2 linked regions of the Saccharomyces cerevisiae S288C genome follow. Changing the gene in region 1 together with any one later gene gives a genetic interaction. Each region holds a gene or a part of one and is shown on either strand. Other genes may lie near its edges.

What was found.
Region 2: mutations in TVP23 (region 1) and RRT13 together harm fitness more than expected from each alone (negative genetic interaction), as found in Saccharomyces cerevisiae (one large-scale study listed by BioGRID).

What each region holds. Positions count from the first base shown.
Region 1 is NC_001136.10:612,695-616,840, forward strand, and holds TVP23 (Tvp23p), read right to left. Parts: upstream 1,311-4,146; coding exon 711-1,310; downstream 1-710. Other genes in the region: RRP8 (25S rRNA (adenine645-N1)-methyltransferase), read left to right, coding at 1-557; AFR1 (Afr1p), read right to left, coding at 1,594-3,456. UniProt on the Saccharomyces cerevisiae protein: Golgi membrane protein involved in vesicular trafficking.
Region 2 is NC_001137.3:278,560-296,033, reverse strand, and holds RRT13 (Rrt13p), read right to left. Parts: upstream 5,793-17,474; coding exon 5,235-5,792; downstream 1-5,234. Other genes in the region: ARG56 (bifunctional acetylglutamate kinase/N-acetyl-gamma-glutamyl-phosphate reductase), read right to left, coding at 1-624; CCR4-NOT core ubiquitin-protein ligase subunit MOT2, read right to left, coding at 1,221-2,984; RGI1 (Rgi1p), read right to left, coding at 3,483-3,968; ICL1 (isocitrate lyase 1), read left to right, coding at 9,120-10,793; VHR2 (Vhr2p), read left to right, coding at 11,812-13,329; THO1 (Tho1p), read right to left, coding at 13,668-14,324; glycerol-1-phosphatase GPP2, read left to right, coding at 15,352-16,104; fatty acid synthase CEM1, read left to right, coding at 16,408-17,474. UniProt on the Saccharomyces cerevisiae protein: May be involved in the modulation of rDNA transcription.

The sequences.
Region 1 (4,146 bases):
GTGGTGAAGCTCAATTAGCATTAGAAATCAACAATTTTTTCAAAAATTACAATAAGAAAGCGAAGAAATATTTGAAAAGACGCCATAAAGTCCACAGTTTTGATTTGAAGAAAGCTAACGAAAGAATAACTGTGGCAGATATTAGAAATGTGCCGCTACCAGATGAGTCCTGTACTATAGTGGTCTTCTGCCTGGCTCTAATGGGTACAAATTTCCTCGATTTCATAAAAGAAGCTTATAGGATTTTAGCGCCAAGGGGTGAATTATGGATCGCAGAAATTAAATCAAGGTTTAGTGACGGCAAAGGTAATGAATTTGTAGACGCTTTGAAGCTGATGGGATTTTTTCACAAAAAGACCTTCGACGAGAATAAGATGTTTACAAGATTCGAATTTTTCAAGCCACCTGCGGAGATTATTGAAGAGAGAAGGCAGAAATTGGAAAGAAGACAAAAGTTTATTGAAGTTGAAACTGAGAAGGAAGAATTAGAAAAGAAAAGACGGAAAATTGCCGAAGGAAAATGGCTCTTGAAGCCCTGTATTTATAAAAGAAGATAACGACTTCATCCGTCATTTTCATATTTTAATATTGTTTTTTCTTTTGTATACTATATTTATACATATAATTGTATTCTTTTCCTGTAGTACATTGCGTAAAGTAAAAATCATCTAGAAGAAGTACTCCACAATGTTCACATGAGGGACAAGGTTTTATTGTCTCTGGAAAAACGATTGGATATTAGCCAGCCTTGAAAGATTTTCAAAGCCCGGAACAGAAGGAAGAGCGAACCAATTATTAGTATCTTGACCGTCAGATTGTCCACTATTGGGCTCCCATCTATCGCAACAACGAAATCCATACGTGTTCCAGGCGGTCAGACACATTGCAACAATGACCAAAATCAGGTAGAATATTTTCAGTCTTAAAAGACACAACACAGCGAAGACACCCCAGATTACGGGTGTCACATACATCGACCACCAGAATAACTTAGAATCGATGGCATTTATTGGTGGGCCCGGCGCATATTGCTTATATGATTCGAAAGTAAAATTAGAATCTTTGTTCACATCTGTAGAATCATACCACCAGCGTAATTGGACCAGTTTCCGACCTGTAATGTTTTTTGTTAAGTAAAAGTCAAAAGAAAGTAAAAGAACGACAGTGATGAATTGAGGTGTGAAATTCAAAAACATTGATCCTATGATATAAAATACAATGGGAACTGCCTTACCTGCCAGATGAAATGATAGTAGCAACGGGTGCGACGATTTTAAAATTGTGTTGTAGAAATTTCTTGCCTGGTCCATGTTTCATTCGTAATTAGAGCACCAGCAGGTTTATAAAAGCGTATTGAACCGTAAATCCTTTAAGAACCACGCTTTTCTACATTTACATTATGTACAGTTAAAATGGAAACGAAATCCCTTTTCACCCAAAGGCGCATTGCGGACAAATAATAGGTTCGAGGTCAAGGTAAACAGGAAGCAAGATGCAAAAGAAGTAACTGGAATGGAATGTATACATTGATATATAAATATGTATGACGCCTTCTATTGCAAAAAATAAACTGGATTATGTTACGTTAATAACTCAAATTAAATAATGTGTAAAGCACTTGCTGTTCTCATGGACAACCATCTCATTTTTTTTGTAAGAGTTAAGTTCAAGTTTGATCTCATTCATGGCACTATTCATGCTTGGATGTACTTTCATCATCCACAACAATCTGTGGCGATTCATAATGAATTCCGGATTAGCTCTCTCATATGCATTCGATGACCAAGTGCTTGCTAAACATACTTCTTTTGCAAACCGGACATCTTTTTTTATTGGTTTTGGAGGTGTTTCGACTTTATCAAATGAGGAATCTGGCAGCGAATTCCTTCTATCTTCGAATCTGATATACTCCCAGTCATTTCTCAACCTATTTACCATGTCGTTCCCAACATGCATTGGTAAGCTTATTGGACCTGACAGAGACTGTCGCAAATCTGTCGATATGTTGTAGAAGTATCGTGCAGATTCATTGTCATCTAATGAAGGCCTCTTGGACGATCTTGGTGGTGGTTGATTTCTCGTGTCGATTATATATTCACCGAGCTTTGAAAATTCTTCGATTATGGTCTTGTCGATCAAACCTTCATTGACATTATGCTTTTCGGTATCTCGAAAAGAAACCTTGCCATCGTCGTTGTGCGAGGTCTCGTGGAGCTTTTGTCGTATTTCTAATTGCCTTCGCCTCAAATCGTATTTATCATTTTCCTTGGACAACAGATCATCAAAAATTGAATCTGTATCCATTAGAGTTTCGTCGTCGTCAAATTCAATGCCGTCCAGATTTGCATCCATTAATTCAATATCATTCTCAGCTTCAGAATTTCCATCAGAATGCGTAACCATATCATCGATAGGAATTCTCCTTCTTTTTGTATCCTTTTTTCCATGCTTTGTATTCGAGTTTCCTGAAGTACGCCATAATTTCTTCAAAACAGAACCCAGTTTCAACTTCGATTGTGACTTTATACATCTATATTTCTCAGTGCCCAGAATAGTCTTTTTCTTTCTATCAAATAGGCCTGAATTAGTTGTTGGCTTAGTTTTTTCCTTAGTTGATAAATCCAATTTTTCTATATGGCTACCATGTTTTTCATTTACCGTATTTTCGAAGCAATAAGATATAGTTACAGTTTTATTTTCATAACCGTCATCATCATCAGTTTGACTTTCTGGCAAGCTGGTCAGGGTATTAACAGCAGATATCGGAGAGGTTGATGAAACCGAACTTTTTATTGTTGAAGGAACTGAAGTGTTCAGCTCCAAGCTATTTACACCGTAGCCTGTATCATTGGGAGGAATATGTATGACTGATGTCCCATTATGAGGCCCCACAAAATCTTTTGATAAATTGCGACCTTTCTTCTCGCTGAATTTGAATAAAGAAGAGTCTCTTGAATTTAATTCAGGCTTTTTCAAGCTGTGGGTGCATTTTCCATCAAGTTTTGGCTTGTATATTTCGCCATTGGGAAATTGAAAGCTTCTTTTCATTTTAGAGCGCTGCAGTTGATAAGGTGTTAATTCTTTATATACTCCGAAAGTGTACTGTGGCTTCTGGTATTGGCTCACATAATCTTGATCATTATTGAACCCCTCATGGTAAGAGTTTCTTTCCCTAACTGTGAATAGCGCAGTTCTCTTTCTTTGCTGGGCGGCTGTCATTGAACAGGACCTTACTGGAAATTTTCTAGCTGCTGTCACAGACCTACAGTCTATCTCGCCACTATAAATGTGTCTCTTCTTATTCGGGTTCGAATAATTGTAATCAGCATCATTCCTAACATTGAGTTTAGAGAATGTACTAGACAAAGCAAACAAATTCGAAGTTGAGTTCGACCTAGGTATCAATCGCTCCGGTATGGGTTGGTTTTCTTGTGCAGATAGATATGAGCCCTCCATTATTATCAGCAGTTTGTGGTAACACCTAATATGGCCTATCTGGATAATGAGATAGCCCCTTCCCTTTTTCCAGTTTTCTTTTTCTTTTGTTCCTATATTATATGAAGCCGGTATATATATTTATGTAGAATAAGCTTTTAGCAGGCGTCCCATTAAAGTCGTCAAGGTAAGTCGGGCCCAATAAACTTGTTGAAAGGGTGAGAGAGAAAGTGCTAAAAGGAAGCCAAACCTTTGTGAAACCTGGGGTATGTCGAGCATATAATCAAAAATAAGACGTACTACTCAAAAAGGAAATGCATGGGAAAAAGAGGCAGCGAAAAAGGAAAAGTGAGTGCCCATCTATTTTTAGGCGCTGTTCCGTTCAGGGATCGTACTTGTTTCATATCAGTGGTAGCAACGTGGTAGCACGGAAGAATTTGACAAGGAGCTAAACGTCATATCGCCAAGGAACGGTTTTTCGTTTCAAGGTCGTTGGAGAGCTTTTCCATGATCGGTATGGAGCTTAAATAAAGGGAAAGGAACAATGATACGTTTATGCTTATTCGGCAAATAGAAAACATGTTTAATACAGAAAATGCAGTAATATTATATGGGAAGAATCAAGACTCTTGCCTTCCACCTCTTTAGAGTAAATTCTTATATAGGGCTGAACATATACACACTATACCGATAGAAAGGTTATAATTTAAA
Region 2 (17,474 bases), on another chromosome or scaffold:
GTATTTGTCCTTATCCAAATAGTCAGCAGTAAAAACACCAGAAGTAATGGGTCTTGCACGGACCCCTAGCTGTTCTAATGCAGTAACTAGCTTAAGATTTTGTTCCAAAAAACATTTTCTAACTACGGCCATTGTGTGCTCATCCGTGATTCTAATACCATCAATATAGTCTGGCTCAATTCCCTGCGCTTCTAGCCTTCCATTAACCTGAGGACCGGTACCATGTAAAACTATTGGATATAGACCAACATGATACAAAAATGCCAAGCAGGAAGCGAGTTCGTGTAGATTGTCGCTGATAATGGCACCACCCACCTTGATCACAGCAAATTGTTGTTGTGAGACGGAAGTGAAATATTTCAAATATTGTTCAACCTCTCTTTTTGTGCTGATATTGTTCAACAGTTGGATCACAGTGGATCTAGTAGCTGAAAAGCCGTTAGTAGATGAAACATACCTCTTTGAGTATCCGACTTTCTTTCTCGTAAATGCAACGGATGGTGGAGCTCTCAAGGGTACAGATGCAAATCCTGCTATGGTGGATTTGTTTAATGAAGACACAAATTTTTGGAATTTGGAAGCGTTAAGTCTCTTTGTCGAGACGAGTAAGCTAGCAGATGGCATAATGATGCAGACTTATTTCTCACTTCAGATCTCTCTTTCTTTTGCCTTTAGTGGTATATGTGTTAAGTATATTACGGGTCTGAAAAATAATATCCAAAAATGTTCCTAATGGAAATGGATAGCGAACAACAACACGCGCGCAAGCTCTTTATATGAAAAAAAAAAATAGAAGAGTCATCAATTACCACCATTCGGCCACAGTTTTTTGATGTAGACTGAGTCATTCGGATAAGAATTCCAACCAACTGCGCAAGAGATTTCGTTGAAAAAATGTGATTTAAGTGAAAAAATTAGCGAAGCAGGTTCCGTGCATTATGATATATATCATGATGATTATTTTCTATGAATTAGTCATTCTTGCAGCGCTGACGCTTTCATACGTTGTAACGAGTAAATAGACTATACTGGTATATGCTATGGCATTATTCATTAGCCAGATACCTTTCCCAGATACCTTTCCACGTCAAAGGTTTAAAAAAATGGGTGAGATTTTTTTTTCTTGCATTTCGTTATAAACGGAGAGATTATATATTCATGAGAAATAAAAATAGATAAAATTATGGTTAATGCAAACAAGAAAAATATTTAGAGTCGGATTAATTACCGGCGATAATTTTCCTTCCGTTGATTAGTTGATTTAGTAAATCAGAGGAATTTCTTGAGCTTGTATCACCCATTTGTTGCTGCTGAATAGGAACCTTATGTTGTGGACCAAAGATACCCGGTGGAGGGGTACTGACGTTTAATGGTGGTTGGATTTGCTGTGAGACGGTTTGCAGTCTTATTGGTTGGGTGGGAGTTTTCGTATTATCTGTGATTGTAATATTGTCATTTACACCAACATTGACACTCTGCAAGAATTGAACGACAGAAGCAGTGTAGTCTATTGGCTTTATAGCCAGGATCTCCACAAGTTTGTTGGCTAATGTATTGTCACTTTTCTTTGAGGCCTCAATCTTGTCCCAAGAAAACAAAGACGGATACTTTTTATAAGTTTCTTCGTCAATAATATTGGATTTGATAGATATAGGGCGCTTCTGATAATTTGATAGAGAATGTAGTCTTGCATCCAAAAAGTCAACAGCATTCCCTAGTGCGTCATAAGGATCTTTGTATTCCTCTGCAGCAAGAGATTGCTTCTTCTTGCTACCATGGGAGTGACTTGTAGCATTGGTATTGGTAGTAGTTGTCGTACTTGTGATGGTATTCTCTGTTGTGGGGGTAGTATGATGGCCCAGAGAATCATTTAATGTTGGCAAGTTTATGGAGCTGCTGTTTTTAGAGAGATTGATAGAGGTTACAGGTGTTGCTGATTGAGTAACTCCCCAAGGATTTGACCCTGCAGGGACCGGAGCAGGTGTTAATACCGGTGTTCCAGCGTTTGTATGGCTGTCATGATGTAACTGAGCCCTCATCGCCGCCGGTGAAGGTGTGCCTGTGAAATTTTCACTTAGTAAATTGGTATTTGAACCAGCGGTACTGGTAGATATATTGTTGTGTATTCCAGATCTAGTGAATGCAGTTCCGCCACTTTGCTGTTGCGCTTGTTGTTTATTGTGGAGTTCTCTTTTATTAAAAGAATCAGCTTCTTCACCAGGTTCATGCAAAAACATACAGTTGGGATTTGGGCATGGCAATCCTCTTAAATAAGAAGAACAGTATTTAGTAGTACCGTAGGCAGCTTTGATCAGGCGGCCATCCATATACGTCCCGTCTACCTGAGCTATACATCTTGCAGCATCGTCCTTGGATCCGAAGGTTATGTAAACGCCATATCCTGGTGAATGATGGTGATAATGCTCGCTGGTTGTGTTGTTAGAATGGGGTGTTTTTCTATTAACCACAATCTTATTTATCTTACCATATTGGCCAAAATATTTTTCAGATTTCAGAGTGGGCGCAACTTCCTCGTATGGAACAGGAGGATTGATGCCAACAACGTACACTAAATTCTTTTGGATAACTCTGGTACCAGATAAATGTTTCCTATTCGTATATTCATTCTCTTTACGTTCTTTTTCTCTATGCTTTCTTTCTTTCTCCTTCCTAGCGAGCTTGGCTCTCTCCATTTTTAACTCCTCCGGAGATAATGTGACGTATCTGACGTTCTCGTCATCATATTTACGACGACATGCTGGGCAACGGCCATTTAATTCTGGATTTTGTCTGATATTATTGTAGCAAAATTGACAAATTTGATAACCACAGGGACAAGGAAAAAAATTTTTATCAGTAATATCCATTGGTTCAATACAAAGAGGGCAATAATCTTCTTCATCCTCCGATAAAAATGACGTATCAAAATTGCTTAAGGCGTTGTGGATTGCTTGCAAATTTTCTTGAACGTGTGGATTCATCATTATGACTGGATTATATACGATACTTTTATTTGGTCTTTTGTACTTTTTATTAAGTTTTGGGATTGTTGCAGAGTAACAAAAGCAGTAATCTATACTATTCGAACCACTACTGAAAACCCTAGGAGGGCTTTTACTGTATGTAGTACACGTCTTGATATGCTTTTCGGAAATTTTGAAAAGAGAAAGCAAAAAAAAAAATCATATTCACACTTACAATGTTACCCGGGAAGAGACGGCAATCAAGTGGAAGTTCGGGTAATAGCATTCATTTTAGAAGCGTCGATATAATCATCGACCAGGTAGTAGTTTAACAATACATTATCAGGTTTCGCGGCGTAACAGTGATACTACTTTATAGCGTTTCACGTCTTCGGGCTCAACATTTCAATAAAAAAAATTCAAAAAGTTGCTAATCGTAAATCATTAAAGGTACATAAAACTACTTATGAATTTGGGAGGTTAGGATTCAGTACTAACACATTCTCTATGACACAACCTTTAATTTGCGCCTACAGGATGTGTTTTGTAATCGACAAATACCATAGCATCTTCATGTGTGCAAACTACTTGAACGTCTATCTTGAAAGGTCTACCATGGTATTCAGTTTCCTCACCGTAATGCCAGGTGATTTTATCAAATGTCTCTTCCTTCGATTTTTCGTGAAATTTAAGCTCAGGTTTCCTAACGGCTTGCTTAATATCTTTCAAAAGATGCTTTTCAATATGCTGGTGCAGGTGACGCACGAACTTCTTAGAATGAGAATTTGCAGCATCACTAATTTTTTCAGGGTCCTCGTGCGACTCGTGTAGCACAAATGGTGGGTAGTAATTTAATTTACAGTGCAAATGATCGAAATCATCATCTTCAGTTTCATTGGCAATGAAAGTTTCAAAACCCTGCAGGTCTTCAAAAACTTTCACGGTTTCACCATCCTCCGTGGTAACCGTTTGAACTTTTACTTCCTTCTTATCCTTCTTTGTCATTTAAAGTGGAGACGAAAACAGTCGATACCTAATTTATATGTTCTATGGGCAATTATTAGAATACAATGCAGAACTTGTCCCTTTATGAAATGTTTTGACCAAAGAAATTTGAACGTGGAAGAACAAAAGATTCAAATATACGCTAGAAATCTTTTGCCTTATATATGTGCACACAATCAAGTAAAGACACTTGTATTTTTCCACCCAGCAATACCCCTTAAGAACGCTGCCCCTTTCATTCTATATTTAATTAACCATACAGTAACTTATAATACCCCTGATTACAGGATGCATTTGTTATGGAAGTCAATTGCCGAGAGCCGTCCACATTATGCTGGTTGCCTCGAGGATATTATTTTTTAGCACATCCGCAATCTCGCCACACCGCATTTCCGTTCCTTCGGCCCCTGAATCTGGGGTAAAAAAAAAAAAAGCAGTCATCTGGAGATTGTATCACCCAAAAAGAAATACGTTTCTGGCTCGTAACAGGTATGACAACACGTTGTCAGAATACCAAAGTTTAGTCTGAACATTTGACTGCGTGTATATCGGAAACGCTGGATTTTTGGTGCCACCTTCTTCGTTCATGGCATATGTGTAAGTCACGTAGGATTAATGTCATCAATTTCATGAGTTGAGTGAAAGTGCAACTTTACAATGTAGTCAACATACTGCACCGTCATCATTACATATTTCAGATTAAGGGTGATAATGCCGCTTTCATAATTCCTATTGAAACCTTGTATTGGCATATGATACTTCAGGAAGATGTGTTCGGCAATCGTTGCTTTTACTTCGGTACTCTTGACAGATTATGTCATTTATTCGCACCAGTAAGGATGTAGCTCTTGTCTTCTGTAGCCGAATTATCGAAGTTAATGAATAATATTACACACAGCTACAGTTTCAGGAAAAATATGAGACGAGTCGCAAATAAGCGGCCATTGTATACATTATGACAAAGTGAGTGTGATAATTACTGCATGGCCCAATGCATGAAAATATGGGTCAACTTGTACCACATTTGCTACAAATGGACGATAACTGAACTGGGCATAAACAAAATTACTTTTTCCTCGATTTTAGTCCTGCTGATTGAGCTAATAATACATAGCTCGCATGTAATTAATGTTGATATATTAAACTAATAAATAGCACATAACTTATTAATGTAAATTCTAAAGTTTTATATTTGTTTACACCGAAAAAGTACAACTGAGTTCCAAACGTGACAAGGTAAGTTCTGCATCATTCTCACATCAATCTTCAACTAAAGTCCAAAATTTCTAAAAGATTTCGCTTGTCTCGTTCTACCGCTGCCACAAGTGTGTTGTCCTTAAAACTAACGTTCCAAACATTATCAGCACCACTCAATGTATCTGAACGGACTAACAGCCCACTATTTAAATCATAAATATTGAGCAAACCTTCAGATCCACTCACTAATACCTCATCAGAAACGTGCAATGCGGTGATTGTATTCAACTGCGTGTGATCGAAAAAGTGCTTCAGAAAGTAAGTGTTAGCGTCCCAACACCTTATTGAACCGTCTACAGAAGCACTGACTAAAAATTTATCGGATAATCCCAATAAACCGACTAGGGCTCTGTGACCCCGCAAAGTGTACATAGCACCAAGTATTTTGGCGCATGGCGATGCTGAATTTGTTGCGTAGGAACATTCTCCATTATTCCTTATATTTTCCAAATCCCAAATTCTAATAGTGGTATCCATACTGGCAGAGATGCACCTTTTTCTTTCATGATCGTAGATTGTCGAATAAATACGATCCGTATGTCCACTCAAGATATATAGACATTTCATTTGCGCAACATCCCACACAATCAATGTATTATCATAGGAGCCACTAATGGCAATATTACCGTGGCCTGAGACAGTTCTTACAGTCGCCGTATGTCCTCTTAAAACACCAACAAAATATGGGTTCTCCTCAGGGGTATGAAAGACTAATGGATAATCATGTTCTTCCCCATGATCAGGAACGGAGGACTCCTTGGGCAATTTCCAAACGTGCAAAGTGTTATCTCTCGAACCAGTAACAATGTACTTGATATTTTTATATTCTACTATATCTAGGCACCTCACCGTAGAGTTATGACCTTTAAACACATGGGTACAACAACCTTTCTTAATATCTCAAACTCGCACCGTTCTGCCTGTAGAACCGCTGACTAAAATACCGCCATGGGCATACTTCAATGCCCAAACCTCACCATCATGACCTGATAGTTGTAAAAGAAATCTTTTATTTACTAAGTTATAAACTCTGATCGTTTTATCACATCCTCCTGTAATGACATAATTATCTTCAACTTGCAAGCACGCAATAACACTCGTCATATGGCCACTTAACGTGGTCCTTTGAGGTGTATAATCAGGATCAAACAAATTTACCAAAACAGACATTTCAGACACAACTTCCAGTACTTTATTAAAGCTTCGCAGATAGACGTTCTGATATAATTCCAAGGTAATAGAAAGCGATTGCTGTTTAAGTTGAACATGGTTTGCATTGATTTATTTAAACTTCGGGTAAATTGCTGGCTGCAACTTTCATTTAGACGAAAATGCAAAATCAATTGCCCCTTGTTGATAGCTTTAAGTGGAAGCCGTTGACTAGGTTTTAACGGGAGTGTGACTCCAAATGAAAAAATTATTGAAAGCTAAGATTATTTTGCACTATGACATTCTCGATAATCCCTTGGAAAGATTTAAGTGATTAGTCCGAGTACCGATATGGTTGAGAATCAAAGGTTTCTTTTCACAACGGTGACCCCACCATTTGAAAAAAAAAAAAAAATGAAAACGATGGCAACGCCCTTATCTGGCGTGGTTATTACCATAGAAAAGTTTATTCAATGTTTTTGTTATTCTCACTGACACAGACAGCATTTTGGAATATTGCATTCCTAACATATTGCTACATTAGCAATTGAAAGGGCAGTCGGAACTATCACGTAGTTTGAAAATGTCTTCCCGCTTAGCTCATTATGCATAAGCTTGTGCACGGCGTCATGGTCCATTTACTGTACATGGTAAGAAAGTTTTATTCCACCTACACTGATGTTGGCTGGTATGTTGATGGTTTTTGATAATTCACGTGTAATTAAGAACATCGAAACACTATCTGATGTATTTTTTATTGTTGAAATTTCTGACTCGTTTACAACCTACAAGCCCATACTGAGCTAAGTTTGCCATGTGCCCATCTATCTGTATTCGTGTCGAATCGGAAAATTATTATGGTACTTTTGTGTTGGAGATGGACAATAGAACGGTATGATGAGGCTTTGGTATTTTCATTTTAACAAGTGAATTTGAGAATTGGGTGATTTGTGATTATATTTGGGTGCACTGTTGGAAAAGGCTATAATATTACGCATACAGGATATACTGGTAGCATGAATACTACCCCAAATGGATGATATTTTAGGGTTTCATTGTAACAGATATCGGTGGATGTGTTCTTATTTTTATATGTCTCTGATAGTGGTTCTTTTTTGGGAAATTCATAATGATAGGCACTATGGCCGAGTGGTTAAGGCGACAGACTTGAAATCTGTTGGGCTCTGCCCGCGCTGGTTCAAATCCTGCTGGTGTCGTTTTTTTTATTGTTAGAGGTGCCTTGAAAATGCTACATTCATGAAAAGTAGTTGAACTGCTTGGAGACCATATTTACTGGAATATCTTCATATGGTCGAAGGCCGTTTGATGCTTCCAAACTGAATGTTGGGCTGGAATAAATTTTGTAATAGTAGTGCTTCAAATGAATTATTTTTTTTTCATTTTCAATACGCAAATGTAAATGACGCGTACGCTGGGACTGATAAGGTTTGTATTTAGATTCTTCCTGGCCTAAACATTATGTTAACTAGGTTTGTTTTTAGCGCAATTTCATTAGTTCTCAAGGAGCACTACAGATTCTTATTCACTATGGTTTAAGTTATTTCTAGAAAATATAGTGTGATCATCGTCATATATTTTTCGGAATAAAAATTCACACTCACTTATCGACTATTAATCATATTACTAGTATATTACCATATACTCTGTAAGAGGATGACATAAAGAAAGATAACAAAATTAAGAGACAGCCATCAAAATTTAATGGAAGCTGAAATGCATGATTTTGGAAATGTAAAGGATAATGAGTGAGCATATAAAATGGAAGAAAAAATAATAATAGGATTATGTATAAAATATCGATTCCCTTTTGTAGATTTCGAGATCTTCGAGGAGAACTTCTAGCACGTTGTTTACATATCTAATGTTGTAACACGGCCTTTGTTATCTTGTGAATATATCCATCACCTACGTCGCTTGAGGTTTCGTATCAAAGAAAGAGAGTTCAAACATAATCATACGTGTTTCACTCCAAATTTGATCACAAATGGCCACCCATTATAGCTTGTTATTATTTACTTCTTCTTGAGTTCATTTTATTGAAAGATGCCCGCTGGGAACAAAACATAAATAAAATTCAAGAGTACAATATAGCGTAGCATAGTTGCGAGCAAGGGAAGGCAACACAGTTAAAATGACAATGTTAGAAGGAAAAACTAAATCAAGCTCCCATAGGAAATTTCTTGTGTCAGTAATATGTCTCGAGAAAATAATAATAATTGAATCTATTTATTGAAAAGTAAATATCTCGTAACCCGGATGCTTTGGGCGGTCGGGTTTTGCTACTCGTCATCCGATGAGAAAAACTGTTCCCTTTTGCCCCAGGTTTCCATTCATCCGAGCGATCACTTATCTGACTTCGTCACTTTTTCATTTCATCCGAAACAATCAAAACTGAAGCCAATCACCACAAAATTAACACTCAACGTCATCTTTCACTACCCTTTACAGAAGAAAATATCCATAGTCCGGACTAGCATCCCAGTATGTGACTCAATATTGGTGCAAAAGAGAAAAGCATAAGTCAGTCCAAAGTCCGCCCTTAACCAGGCACATCGGAATTCACAAAACGTTTCTTTATTATATAAAGGAGCTGCTTCACTGGCAAAATTCTTATTATTTGTCTTGGCTTGCTAATTTCATCTTATCCTTTTTTTCTTTTCACACCCAAATACCTAACAATTGAGAGAAAACTCTTAGCATAACATAACAAAAAGTCAACGAAAAATGCCTATCCCCGTTGGAAATACGAAGAACGATTTTGCAGCTTTACAAGCAAAACTAGATGCAGATGCTGCCGAAATTGAGAAATGGTGGTCTGACTCACGTTGGAGTAAGACTAAGAGAAATTATTCAGCCAGAGATATTGCTGTTAGACGCGGGACATTCCCACCAATCGAATACCCATCTTCGGTCATGGCCAGAAAATTATTCAAGGTATTAGAGAAGCATCACAATGAGGGTACAGTCTCTAAAACTTTCGGTGCCCTAGATCCTGTCCAGATTTCTCAAATGGCAAAATACTTAGACACAATCTATATTTCTGGTTGGCAGTGTTCATCAACTGCTTCCACCTCAAATGAACCTGGTCCAGACTTAGCTGATTATCCAATGGACACCGTTCCAAACAAAGTGGAACATTTGTTCAAGGCCCAATTGTTTCACGACAGAAAACAACTAGAGGCACGGTCAAAGGCTAAATCTCAGGAAGAACTCGATGAGATGGGTGCCCCAATTGACTACCTAACACCAATTGTCGCTGATGCAGACGCAGGCCACGGCGGTTTAACCGCAGTCTTCAAATTGACCAAGATGTTCATTGAGCGTGGTGCTGCTGGGATCCACATGGAAGACCAGACATCTACAAATAAGAAATGTGGGCATATGGCAGGAAGATGTGTTATACCCGTTCAGGAACATGTTAACAGATTGGTGACTATTAGAATGTGTGCTGATATCATGCATTCTGACTTAATTGTCGTTGCTAGGACTGATTCAGAAGCAGCCACTTTGATTAGCTCAACCATCGATACCAGAGATCATTATTTCATTGTCGGTGCCACCAATCCAAATATCGAGCCATTTGCCGAAGTTTTAAATGATGCCATCATGAGTGGTGCATCAGGACAAGAACTAGCTGACATTGAACAAAAATGGTGTAGAGACGCTGGACTCAAGTTATTCCATGAAGCCGTCATTGATGAAATTGAAAGATCAGCCCTGTCAAATAAGCAAGAATTGATTAAGAAATTCACCTCTAAAGTGGGTCCATTGACTGAAACATCCCACAGAGAAGCCAAGAAGCTCGCTAAAGAAATTCTTGGCCACGAAATTTTCTTCGACTGGGAGCTACCACGCGTAAGGGAAGGGTTGTACCGTTACAGAGGTGGGACGCAATGTTCTATCATGAGGGCCCGTGCATTTGCTCCATATGCTGATTTGGTATGGATGGAATCTAACTACCCAGACTTCCAACAGGCCAAGGAGTTTGCAGAAGGTGTTAAAGAGAAATTCCCTGACCAATGGCTAGCTTACAACTTGTCTCCATCCTTTAACTGGCCAAAAGCCATGTCCGTTGATGAACAACACACCTTCATCCAAAGGCTGGGTGATCTAGGTTACATCTGGCAATTTATCACATTGGCCGGTTTACACACTAACGCTTTAGCTGTCCATAACTTCTCTCGTGACTTTGCCAAGGATGGGATGAAAGCTTATGCCCAGAATGTTCAGCAGAGGGAAATGGACGATGGTGTTGATGTGTTGAAACATCAAAAATGGTCTGGTGCGGAGTACATCGATGGGTTATTGAAGTTAGCTCAAGGTGGTGTTAGCGCAACAGCTGCTATGGGAACCGGTGTCACAGAAGATCAATTCAAAGAAAATGGCGTAAAGAAATAGGACAAGGATTAACCATTAGAACTGCCGGCATTTCCTGACAAGTATATATATTCGTAATCTCAATGTATATTTTTTTCATATATAAACATGCGTACTTAAAAACTTAAACTCATCGTTACTGCAGTACAATGTTCTCTAATGGCATCTCTCTAATGGTACTCCAACTAAAGTCAACATTCTCTCCGTGCAAGAATGCCTTTCTCTAGTTGCAAAAACGAGTCAATAAACATCTTTGATCGAGTCGCCTCATTTTTGTTGACTCGGTGACTAAAATCAGTGCCATTTCTGTCCATGCCTCGTGCGCGAATGATTGAATCGAACTAATCCCGAACACAATCATAGTATCGTATCGCCCATTAGTGCCGTGAGTGTACGCGAGGCAAAAGGCACCATGGAAAATATTCCCTTAGTCATCTTGGAAATCATTGAGACTGTAAAGGAACTCGCAAACGGGTAACCGATATTTACCCCACCTTTGGTCGAGAAATTCCACCTGTTCGGCAATTTTTGCCGCTCTTCTCAAGAGCAAAAGGCGTTTTTTTTTCTGACACGCCTCTTCTCTCGCATGCCAAACTCAAGCGTCCTACATGCTTTTCTCATGAAAGCCAAGTGCGGGATGAAAAACATAAAATGTGACAAATAGTGCCACCTCATAATGTAATCGAGAGGCAAAATTAATCACTTTGTTCTCCCTTTTCTTTTTTCTGGGCGCTCAAAGTGAGATGCTTTCTGTAGAAAATAACATGGCCGTTAGAAGGTACTCGTCATCTTTTAGCTGCCGCATACATGTACACACACACACACACACACACGCACGCACATATATATATATATATATATATATATATATATATATTAAACATGATGGCAAAAAACCGAACTAAGTGCTCCTGTTCTATTTTTATATTCTTGCTTTTCATATTTCTCTAGCTGTATATTACCTTTAGCATATTCAAACATCTTAACCGGAAAATATCTCAGCAAAAAAAACAGCAACAGTCAGAGTAAAAATTGCAAGATGATTGACGATACTGAGAACTCCAAAATTCATTTGGAAGGTAGCCATAAAACAGGAAAGTATACGGGCTATGGTACTACACATAAAATCAGAGCTCAGTTAAACTTTAATGATGAAAAGAAATGGAAGAAGTTTTCTAGCAGAAGACTAGAACTCATTGACTCATTTGGCTTGAGCCAGCACAAAGCAAGTGAACAAGATGATAATATAAGACAAATAGCCACCATATTAAGGAGTGAATTTGAGTACCCTGATACGTTTTCGGCAGAATTTGAAAAGTTGGTTACCGCTGCTGTTCAATCGGTGAGAAGAAACAGGAAACGTTCCAAGAAAAAATTATTAGACTCTAAGAAGAAAATAGCCCGTGGTAAAGTTCAAAAAATTCCTTTGTCTCCCCCCAGCTCAAGTAATATGGGGTCTTGTTCAGCTTCCAATGCATCAAGCTCTGACGAAGAAGCCAGCGTGAAGGAAGAACCTGCTGAGCACGCTCTTCCTTCTCTTAATACTATAACATCACAAAAATTGTTACCTTATCCGAATGGCCGCACTCTTCCACCTGTACCAACTCAAGTTCGCTCTTTACTTAAGAAGAACGCATCTCTTCTTCGTGATCCATCGGCACCGTATGCGCACGGCGGCGATGAAAAATTACAAAAGTTTGATATAGAAGATCAGCCTCTAGAAAGTGAACAAGAATACGACTTTATTGCCAAATCAATAATTGTTGAAATTGTAAATAATGCTATTCCACTACCTGAACAAATTCAAAGAGATAAGTTCATTAGACCAAATTTAACGAAAAAAAAAGGGTGCCAAAGCAAAGTTGTAATATCCAACAACTTGAGAAAACTCATCCTGTCAAAGATACATAACTCAAGGACGTGCTTGGAGATGTCTAAGGATGAAAGAAATTTGGATTCTTTTGCTAATCTAGAAACGCTGGGCAAAAATTCACTAATGGCTTCCATTTCCCTTGTGGTAGAAAACAGCTTTTCACATTTACCGTCTTCTACTAAGCAATATCTTACTGAACGGCTGTCATCAATCGAATTTTTGACTATTCTATCGCAAAGGCTATTTATGCCCGCTACACGTCAACTATTCGCTGACCTATCACAAGAAAAAATTCAGGTGAGAGTGCTGAATCTCATACTGGGATCTCTTGTCAAAGATTATGGGTTTGATGCATCTTTGGCACCAATCAACGAAATTATCTATCACATGACACTCCATCAATATCCCTTGGTTTGTAGTAATAAACAGTCCAATCCAATGAGGCCACACTCCACATCTGAGGTCTTGAGTGCACATTCTTCAACGAAAGATGCAAGCACTCCCGGTAAAGAAGAGCCTCGAGTGACGAGGTCAAGCACATCGGCAGATAGCACTATCATTACATTGCCTTCAATTGAAGTCCCAAATACGTACGATGATGACAGGTTAAAGATGTTGAGCGCGATATCGTTGCAGATTGAAAATTCCACCTTTTCCAAACCATTCAGTACTATTTCAAAATAAATAGGCCCGCTTGCATCATCCCCACCTGCATTACTATGAACTATTTATCATAGCTTATTTTTCCTCTATCATCATTGTAACTTGTACAAGAATGTTCAGTCTGTAAATCTCGCCGCTCATTCTCTACTAGCACTTTACAACGTTGACAGCCACTGTATGTGTAATACAGTGAACCGCCGACTCTTCGGATTTAATAACACAGATTTATTTAGAATAATCTACACATGTTTACGTATGCAACAAATTTTGCACCTTCATATACAAACAACTGCGGTCGTTTAAAAAGTGGGAAAGAACCGAAACTAGAATGAAAAACTCCACCAAAACGGCTTGAGCCTTTATCTTCTGTAACCAGAGCGGTTGCCTCTCCTGTTTTTACTTACTCTGGAGCGGTTGTTTGCATTTTTGTTTCTATTTTTAAATTTACCGTTATTGCCACTTTCAGGTTCATTTTTCCTACTGACAAGGCCCAGTTCTTCAGCCAACTTGCTATTCAAGTCAACACCAAACTTCTCCACACGATTTATCTGTCTTTGTAAAGAGTCAATATCCGCTTGATCTTGACCGAATTTGTTAGCGCGGTGCAGTTTCTTATTTAAAAGATCCAATGCTTTGGCCTTAATTTCTTCTGGTGACAAAGCGGGAGCAGCAGTGGAAGCAGCAGCTTGTTCGTTCTCTGAAGCAGTAGCAGAAGGTCCATCAGAGGGCTTTTGAACGTCCTTATTTTCCTCCTTGGGTTCGTTTGTTTCTTTAGGCTCGCTTGAAACTTCCTTTTTTTCAGTAATGTTCTGGGAGGCTGGTTCTTCTATCGCCGCAGGTTCTGACCCTTGTTCCTGGTTTTGTTCCTGTGGAGAAACTTCACTTTCACCCTTTGATTCTTCATCGTCCTTTATCAGTCTTTGAACTAGTTCATTCTTCAATCCGCCTACAGACAGATTTCTCTTGGTCAGTAAATCTTTCAATTGAACAACAGTAAGGGAAGAATAATCTGCCATTGTAAGTGCTTGTGCTGGCTCCAAGAACAATTCTAGTGGTGAAAAAAATTCTATTCAATATACAGATATCTTTGTAACTTCTGAAAGTAGCGCATCCTGAAAGGACACATTTGAAGAGTCACTATTCAACTTTCTTCTCCCATTCAGCATTATCACGCCCTTCCACCAACGCTGGTTGCATTGTGTTTTCTTACTTCGGCTAGAGACGCCGGGTAATAAAATATATATCCTCGAATGAACCGCTGGCCTCGGCCATTTTCATATGACTTCATATCATTAATATGGCCGTAGGTTAAGCAATGCTACGTGAAAGATACCAATTCCAATCGTCTGCTTTCTCTCAAGAGGAGACTTTGCGTTCTTTAAAGGAGCAGAGAAAGAGGGAAACGGTGAAAAACTTCAATATTGATAACATCCATCAGCGTCTAAATTCCTATGCCTCCTTCGAAAATGGTCAATGTTATACCCTCTCCCATTAGATATTACCGTAGCGTACGTATTTGGCCCTGTCCTTTGGGGTTTGGCCTTCTCAAGTATTTTGGCACCTCGCCCTGAACGAAAAGCTGGCACTTTGTCCCCAGCCAAACTCTTCTCTCTAATATCGTCTTTAACGACAAGGTAAAAAGATTTCTGCAGTGTTCCGTCTGCGTCATCATCTGTGCCCCACAATCCGCGGCGTTTCCGTGTAAGCCGTCAAGTGAGGACTTTTCGGATGCTGAAAGAAAGTACGCTCGGAAAAACTACATAGCTGCCCCCCTAAACGGGCCTCCCACGTGACGTAAAGTAGGAATAATAAGAAGCCAAGTCGTTTCTTTTTATTCTAAATAAGTTCGTTTCTTTTGATGTTGTCATTTTCAGAAATATATATATATGCGCTTAAATACACAAGCTAAAACAACATAGTTAGGATTGCCAAAGGTTTCTTTTCTACTCAATTTGGTCTAACTCTTTTCATATTAATAGCGCCAACCAGCTAGTGTTTACCAGATCAGTGGAAAAACATAAAACAATAAAAACAATATTCGGAATGGGATTGACTACTAAACCTCTATCTTTGAAAGTTAACGCCGCTTTGTTCGACGTCGACGGTACCATTATCATCTCTCAACCAGCCATTGCTGCATTCTGGAGGGATTTCGGTAAGGACAAACCTTATTTCGATGCTGAACACGTTATCCAAGTCTCGCATGGTTGGAGAACGTTTGATGCCATTGCTAAGTTCGCTCCAGACTTTGCCAATGAAGAGTATGTTAACAAATTAGAAGCTGAAATTCCGGTCAAGTACGGTGAAAAATCCATTGAAGTCCCAGGTGCAGTTAAGCTGTGCAACGCTTTGAACGCTCTACCAAAAGAGAAATGGGCTGTGGCAACTTCCGGTACCCGTGATATGGCACAAAAATGGTTCGAGCATCTGGGAATCAGGAGACCAAAGTACTTCATTACCGCTAATGATGTCAAACAGGGTAAGCCTCATCCAGAACCATATCTGAAGGGCAGGAATGGCTTAGGATATCCGATCAATGAGCAAGACCCTTCCAAATCTAAGGTAGTAGTATTTGAAGACGCTCCAGCAGGTATTGCCGCCGGAAAAGCCGCCGGTTGTAAGATCATTGGTATTGCCACTACTTTCGACTTGGACTTCCTAAAGGAAAAAGGCTGTGACATCATTGTCAAAAACCACGAATCCATCAGAGTTGGCGGCTACAATGCCGAAACAGACGAAGTTGAATTCATTTTTGACGACTACTTATATGCTAAGGACGATCTGTTGAAATGGTAATCCTCTAAAATCGAACATATTTGAGTAATAATTCTCAGATACAGTCCTATTCTATATTCGCCACAAAACAAGTAATGATGCTAAAAAACGACACATTTATAAAATCACATCTTATTGATTAAATAAATACGTAGATAGATTTTTTTTTTTAAAACATATAGTGTGCTATTATTTCTGACTCTGTCTCATCTCAGAAAAATAAATGATAAAAAAGGAAGTAAAATCCTTAAACGTTATCAGGTTATTAGCAACTTGAAAGTGACAGGAGCCACAACGGATTAAAATTTAATTTCTAGTAAAGAAATGTCAAGAAGAGTGGTTATCACAGGATTGGGCTGTGTAACGCCGTTGGGAAGATCATTAAGTGAGTCATGGGGGAATCTGCTCTCTTCCAAAAATGGACTCACACCAATCACATCTTTGCCCAACTATAATGAGGACTACAAACTCAGAGAAAAAAGTATCCCATCAACGATAACAGTGGGGAAGATTCCAGAGAATTTTCAAAACGAAAATTCAGCCATCAATAAACTGCTGTTCACTAGCCAGGATGAGAGAAGAACCTCAAGCTTTATCAAGCTAGCACTACGTACAACTTATGAAGCGCTTCACAATGCTGGTCTCTTGAACCCAAATGATATAACCATCAATACATCTCTGTGCAATCTGGATCACTTTGGTTGCCTGATAGGTTCTGGTATAGGATCCATTCAAGACATATACCAAACTTCTCTACAATTCCATAACGACAATAAAAGAATAAATCCATATTTCGTCCCTAAAATCCTTACAAATATGGCAGCTGGTAATGTTTCCATCAAGTTTAACCTTAGAGGATTATCCCATAGTGTTTCCACAGCATGCGCAACAGGTAATAACTCCATTGGCGATGCATTCAATTTTATTCGGTTAGGCATGCAAGACATCTGTGTCGCCGGTGCAAGTGAAACGAGTTTGCATCCGTTAAGTTTAGCAGGTTTCATCAGAGCAAAGTCGATTACTACAAACGGGATCTCTAGACCCTTTGATACACAACGTTCTGGATTCGTACTTGGTGAAGGATGCGGAATGATTGTCATGGAATCGCTAGAACATGCTCAAAAGAGAAATGCAAACATAATTTCTGAGCTCGTGGGCTATGGTTTAAGCAGTGATGCCTGCCATATTACCTCCCCTCCTGCTGATGGAAATGGTGCCAAAAGAGCAATAGAGATGGCTCTAAAAATGGCTAGATTAGAACCAACTGATGTTGACTACGTCAATGCACATGCTACATCAACTTTACTAGGCGATAAAGCAGAGTGTCTGGCAGTAGCCTCAGCACTCTTACCAGGAAGATCCAAAAGCAAGCCACTGTACATATCCAGTAA